2 linked regions of the Yarrowia lipolytica genome follow. The protein of the gene in region 2 interacts with the protein of the main gene of each other region in a biochemical or structural test. Links are inferred from orthologs where the notes say so. Each region holds a gene or a part of one and is shown on either strand. Other genes may lie near its edges. The genes, in order: YALI1_B19336g and YALI1_C25576g.

Region 1 (3,405 bases), on a different chromosome or scaffold from region 2:
GTGACACCTCTGGAGCTGACAGCGCTGGAGACAGACCCGGCACCAGCGCCGAGATCTGTGATACCACGTTCTGTAGCGACATCGACGTGTATCGATTCTAGTTGTATGTGTCGGGGAGATGCGAGAAGTTGTTCAAGGGTTTGCCAGCTACGTTATATTTATAAGACACTTGACTCAGAGTCGGTTTCCGCGGGCATGCCTACATTGAATGTTTTAAACGTATAAGAAATGCACACTTTAGATTCGATTTAGCGGGGTCCCCTAGAGTTAACTTCCCCTGTTGTCTCAGCTTGGAAGGCATTCAAACTGCAATAAAAAAGAGTGTGGGGAGGGCGTAAAGTAACTCTGTGCTGAATGGGAGAAAAGCTGGCTGCTTGGGTGCGGGGGAGGGGAGTGTCTCTTCACACCGTTGGTTCAAGACACTGCGGGGTGGGTTTGGTTGAACACCAGCTTTTTGTTTTATGATGACCTAACAAAGAAACCTGTTAGTCAACGAGCTTAATGTCCGATTTTGTGGATTCATTCTTTTGTTGCATTGTTGTTGTGTAAATATCGCCAGATGATCATCCAGCTCTTTCGTATTTGTAGCGGCGATCACTAAAATCAACCCACCCCTGACCCAACAAATGCCGTGGAACAAGCCAATCGACGTGTTTTGGGTGTGGCAAGTGCACATATCCACATGTCGGGTCGATCGCTCGTATCCTGTGAAAAAAGCAAAAAAAGGTTTATGGAGTGCCTGTACGTACCAGGGTTATCGTAATTTCGACGCATTTGTCCAAAATCGCTCTTTATTGGCAAGTGGCTAGCATACCTGAAATCACACCAAGCAGCTGTTCGTTTTCGCATGCTGCAGCCACCCGCTCCTTGTCGTTAAGCTGCTTGTTGACCTGATTCTCACTCTGGTGGGTACCTTCCTTGACAGTGATAGTGAACCGGAACCGAGGAGGAAGAGCTCGCTCGAGTCGCACCCGGATTCCAAGTCCAATCAGGGTGGCCAGAGAACAGTGGGTAATGGTGGGGGTGATTTTGACCACAATCTCGGCCATCTTGTTCTTGTCTCCAGTGTCGTGAACCCAGATATCTTCCAGTTTGACAACAGCCAACTGACCGAGAGTCAGGGGATGCTCGGGATCGGAGATGGTGGCGATGAGGTCGTAAATCTCCTGAGAATCGATAGGTTCAGGCTCGTCATCGTCATCATCGTCGTCGGATCCGCTGGCGGACTCGTTCTGAATCAGAGACAGGGGTGTGGGATGTGTGTCTAGAAAGGCTCCAAGAGGCAGATCGAGCTGCGACTGGCCTTTGTTCCGTGTGGGCAGGGCTGACACGTCGATAACCTCGGGGTTGGCGTTAATGGGATCGGACATTATGGTAGTTGTCTCGTGTATTGCTTCTCACTTACAGCAATTATTCTCTCTGATGTGCAGTGGTGTTGGGAGTATTACTGTAGTTTCTGCATGCCTGACGAATAAGGTTTAAACACTGGGTAGTGTCTCTCAATCAGGGTAGGGGTTCATGTTTCTACCATTGTCTCTAGTCTTGTTTATGGTCCAGGGGTGAGGAGCGGTATAGTGGGGCAAGACTACAAGGCCAAAAGCGCCGAAAGACATTCCAGACGTTTTGAAACATCGTTAAAAGGGGCCAAAAAACCAATAGAGGATGTTGAGTGTGAACAGACCGTTACACCGGCGAGTTTTCAGGAACTTGCCGTCTGTTTGTGGCTCTCGGCTACAGCCAAAACTGTGAGCGTAGCTATGTGACCGCCAGCTTTGTTTTCTTTGTATGGCGCATGCGGGGCACAGTAAAAAAAGTGCAAGTGCAAGGTGAGGTAGCGGGCAGGTGAATCCGCGGGGTTCTGGGACAGTGTGGCAATGAAGTGGAACAATATGACGTAGTTTGGTTATTTTCGGCACTCACTGTTCCCCACGAGTACGACTTATCCTTCTTCTGCTGGTACTGTACTCGTACACACCAGTGCATGTTCGTCTACTTGTAGTTGTACTTGTAGCGTCGCACAAAATGTCTTGCTTGTACATACTGTGTTGTGCTTCTACGAGTACGACAATAGTCATTGACATCTCTTGTTGAAGGTGAGTACAGCATGTACAAGTAAGTCGCTACAATACTCGTACTAATGTCATTAGCAACTATTTAGTTAGTTGCCTTGAGAACCAGCCATCAAAGCATTAAAACTGGCTAATCAAATTAGGGGGCATAACTCCACGGCTGTTTTAGTCTGTCGTTTGTCTCAGTCAGTGTTGGTTCAACCAAGTACATACCGTACAAGATCATCTTGCTGTGTAACTATAGTATTACTGTACGTGCCCCAAGAAATATCATGGGTAAACATATACCTCTCCGACTGCACGCAAAGCCATGTAAACCTGGAACCTTTTTGATGGAACAAAAATTATTCCAGATTGCACTATCAGTTGAGCAGTTAGTTTCCCCTCATATCAGTTTGTTTCTCATTGCCAAAAGACCCCCCTTCGTCTCACATTGTTAAGCTGCATGTAAGCAGTAAGGCTTATCGCAGCTAGGTGCAGTAATCATCTTCGACACCATCACACCATGATCCGACGAAAAATAGCTGAGAAAAAACTGGCCAAGGAGGAGGATAAGCGCGAGGTCACTTTGGTGGCACTCAGTGGCCCCTCGTCCAGTGGAAAGAGTGTGAGTATGAATCGTTTGCACGAGGTGCAGTCCCCGTTACAGAACTGGCACTAACTTCAGACTCTAGCTCGTCTGCTTCGAGACATTCTTCCCCACGTCATCATCATCCACCAAGACGACTTTTACCTGGAGGACTCGCAGATCCCAGTTATTGATGGAGTTCAAGATTGGGATTGTCCCGAGGCTTTTGATTTCAAGCTACTGTCCAAGGTTTTGAGCCATGTCAAGCAGACTGGAGAGCTGCCCAAAAATTTCAAATCGAAGGAGGACCAGAACTCCCTGGGACCCGCTGCTCTTGATGAAAACGCTGTCGACGCCTTTAAGCGTCGAATGCACCCTTACATGCCTGAGTTTGAGAACAAGCTGATTGTCATTCTGGATGGTATCATGGTCTACCATGACGCTCAATTCACCGAGTTGTTCGATATCAAGATTCTGGTCAGATCCAGTTACGAAAACCTCAAGTCTCGACGAGAAGCTCGATCCGGATACGTCACTCTGGAAGGGTTTTGGAAGGATCCTGAGGGATACTTCCACAACATTGTTTGGCCCGGTTACCTAAAGACCCACAAACAGCTGTTTGAAAACGAAAATCCCAACGGAGAACCCAGTAAGGACGCCACCAGAGAAGGAATCCGAATCGTGCCCACCACCGATTTCGACGTGGCCGAGACTCTTGATTGGGTGTTTGATGTCATTCTGGACTATTACGATCTTGAGTAAAGACCA
Region 2 (3,449 bases):
CTTTGGCTCATGCTGGTTGCTGTGTAGGAAGTTGTCGTGTTATATAGTCAAGTCTCGTTGTCGAGGTGATGATACATGTGTGTGGTTATGCACTATTGGTAACCTTAAAACGTGTATGACGTAGGAGATTTAGATTCGAAGGAGATTCAGATTCGAAGGAGATTGCAGACCGCGCAAAAAGAGTGATAAATGCACTGTACACTGAATAACCAAGCCATTTCATTACATGTCACGTGAATCTATGGAACAAAACGGACTATGTCCGTGTTTTGGCCGCACAACGGTTTCTGTTCTAGCCCGCCCTTAGTTTTTTTTTTTCTGCATATACATTCATTTAATTATAACTTTGCCGTGAAAGAATAACCTTTGAAATGAGGTGTTCTATTGTTGCGTGTTGAACTCGCACTAAAAAGTTAAAACCAGACTTGATTTGTAGGGAGTGCTTCCTTCGATATGCCGTGTTTAGACAAATTTGCAACCGGCTTTGAGAAAGTCAGAAAAAAAATCGGAGAAAACTAGAAAATGAACGAAAAAACAACAGAAATCATCTCCATGTAAATATATTCCGATCAAACCTCCCAGATATTCACAACTCCGTCATCGCCAGAAGTAACCAACTTGTCGTCCAACCAAACGACATCGTTCACTTCATAGACACCATGAGCGTTCTCGACCTCAGACTCAACCACCCACTGGCCAGGACCGTTCTCCTTGTAGACCACAAGCTTACCGTCGGCACCGGTGGAGGCGATTCGTCCGTTCTTGTTCCATGCAACAGAGTAGATGGCTCGAGTGTGTGCTTCAGGCAGAGTAGCCTGCTGAATCCACTCCTCAGAGAGAGGATCAGCCCGGAAAGCAGGTCGGATGCCGGAGTGGTCACCTGTACCTCCAACCTGTCCCTCCTTTTTCCACACAATGCATGTTTTGTCGTCCGAACAGCTGACTAGTCTGAGATCAGAACCCTCAGAGGGCTCAAAAGCACACCCCCAAACAGTGGACTCATGTCCTCCGAGGTCGGCAACACAGATCCAATCGTCGTCGTCCTCGCGCCATAGCCGCACGGTATCGTCGTAACTGGCACTGGCAAACACCATCTCTGAAGGGTGCCAGGCGACATGCTTCACGTCTTGAGTGTGGTCCTGCAGCACAGATATACACTCGAACTCGTCATTCATGTCGTCAGCCTCCCACACCCATATACTCTTGTCTCGGGAACATGTGGCGAGCAGCTGGCCGTCACATGACCAGCTGACTCCCTTGACCTCGTTTTCGTGGCCCTCAATAGCCGCCAAAAACTGCCACTCGTCGTCCTCTTTGCCCCAGATGCTGACTGTGGAGTCGAAGCTTCCGAGCGCCAGCGACGGGGACGAGCCGCTGGGCTTCCAGGCCACTGAGCGCACAGATCGGTTGTGGCCCTCGGTGATGGTCGTCACCAGCTCCCAGTTGTTTGTGTTGTAGATTCGCACAGTTTTGTCGCCCGAGCACGTGGCCAGAAGAGGCAGGTTGGGGTGGACGGACGCTGCCCACGCCCGGTCCGTGTGTCCTTTCAGTGCCTTGATCAGCTGCATTTGGTGGTGATGTCAAGATGATGGTAGTGAGTAATAGCCTGCAGGCTTGCACTAGAAAGTTAAACTGATGGCGTCGAGACCTGGCAGTGAGGACAGTCGAGACCGTCAAGAGCCTGAGATCGGAGGGTGTTTGAATATTGGTTCAACTGGATTTTCCGCGGTATATATTTTGAAACTATTTTCGTTTTCTCTTGCACTTCTTCGTCGCCTTTCGTAGGGAGTGGTGTATCATGTTCAGGGAAAAAAGTGAAATAAAGGCTGAACAACATTCTGTAAATGCGTCAAAAATCGGGGAAAAATATGAAAAAATGAAAAGAAGTCAACAAGAGCTTTATGAAATTACCGAATAAACACATAATTTCAACGACTTTGTCAAATATCTAGCCTCTAGAACTCCCGTTTTATCACCGTCGTCTAACTTCTGTCCTCTAAAGTTCACATTTGGTAAACTTAATCAACGCACGGTAGAAACGAAACTGCAGCATCTGAAAAACTCCACAGACTCCGCAACTCACACAAATGTTCCGCATAGGACTAATTGGACTCCGGGCCAGCCGGCCTGTGCTACTGAAGCCGATCCAAAGACCCCAGCTTCTGTTTCGGCCGGTGTCTCCCTTCACAACTGGACGACATCTGTTCCAGAAAGATGCTCACAACGACCACCCCAAGAAGGATGCTGAAAACAAGCCCGAAAACGACAAGGAGCAGTCCAACGAGATGGTAAAGAAAGACACCACGTTTGATCAGCTCCCCCACATCCCTGATCCCAAGGCCGAGGCTTTGGCGAAGAAAAACGGCTACGTCCCCGCCAAAGAGTGGGTCCGAGAGTCGTTTGAGATGCCTAAAACTGACGTGCGACGGCCCCATATGCTGAAATGGAAGGCCCTAGACGGCCATGGACCCAAACTGTTTGCCCTCGCGGTCATTCTGTGGATCATTTGGTGTGCTTACATGGTTACTGGACGAGGAGGTAACGAGGGAGGAGAGACTACTCTGGCAAACAACGCCTTTGTCAAGTACAAGATTGTCAAGAAGATGAAGATCAGCGACGACGTGGAGCTGATTGAATTTAAGGGACCGGAACGATCCATGCTCCAGCCCAAGTATGCAGAGTACTGGGATGGTCACAGAATGTTTTCTGTTCACATTAGACAGCCTGACGTGCAGGTTGTACGATCCTACACTCCTCTACCCGTTTACATGATGCAGGATGTTGATGGAAAGGATCCTTTGGTCAAGATCATCAGTTGGGATACCGACTACAATGGCTTTTGCATGATCATCAAGAAGTACGAGAACGGAGAAGTCGCAAAGTGGATCCAATCCCTGCCAATTGGCACCGATGTGGACATTCGAGGTCCATTTATTGATGCTGTCATTCCGGAAATTCCTGCTGACGTTAAGCCTCCCAGAGCTCCCATGGAGGATATGCCCAGTCGAATCCCGGCTGACTGGAAGTACCTGGACGTTCCCAAACCCGACAACCTGGTCTTCTTTGCTGGAGGAACCGGAATCGCCTCTGTTTTGCAGGCCCTTTTGTCTACCAATCCTCCTCGAGGCTGCGTCGACATTCACTACTCTGTGCGAACCCGTGATGAGGTCCCCTTTGAACGTCTTCTCTACTTTCTGCAAAAGCTCGGTCGAATCCGACTCTTCATGTACGTGGACAAGGAAAACAAGTTCATCTCGAGTAAGGACATTCCCCAACCTGCTCCTTTGAACATCAAGCCCAACACTGATACCACCGACTACAACAACGCTCTGGAGCAGGCAGCGGCCCAGAAGAAGGACAAGAACCGCCAGGGACCTGTCTATGCATACGTTTGTGGCCCTGACGGTTACGTCAACTACATGGCTGGTCCTCGAACCTATGATGGTCAG

What was found.
Region 1: the proteins of YALI1_C25576g (region 2) and YALI1_B19336g form a complex in vitro, tested with the Saccharomyces cerevisiae proteins (2 studies listed by BioGRID). The link is inferred for Yarrowia lipolytica from reciprocal best matches to the Saccharomyces cerevisiae genes CIA1 and CIA2.

What each region holds. Positions count from the first base shown.
Region 1 is NC_090771.1:1,932,281-1,935,685, forward strand, and holds YALI1_B19336g (uncharacterized protein), read right to left. Parts: upstream 1,371-3,405; coding exon 792-1,370; downstream 1-791. Other genes in the region: YALI1_B19323g (uncharacterized protein), read right to left, coding at 1-82; YALI1_B19326g (uncharacterized protein), read right to left, coding at 249-373, 475-676; YALI1_B19348g (uncharacterized protein), read left to right, coding at 2,575-2,676, 2,737-3,399. UniProt on the Saccharomyces cerevisiae protein: May play a role in chromosome segregation through establishment of sister chromatid cohesion.
Region 2 is NC_090772.1:2,556,086-2,559,534, forward strand, and holds YALI1_C25576g (uncharacterized protein), read right to left. Parts: upstream 1,569-3,449; coding exon 570-1,568; downstream 1-569. Other genes in the region: YALI1_C25560g (uncharacterized protein), read right to left, coding at 1-11; YALI1_C25581g (uncharacterized protein), read left to right, coding at 2,088-3,449. UniProt on the Saccharomyces cerevisiae protein: Essential component of the cytosolic iron-sulfur (Fe/S) protein assembly machinery. Required for the maturation of extramitochondrial Fe/S proteins.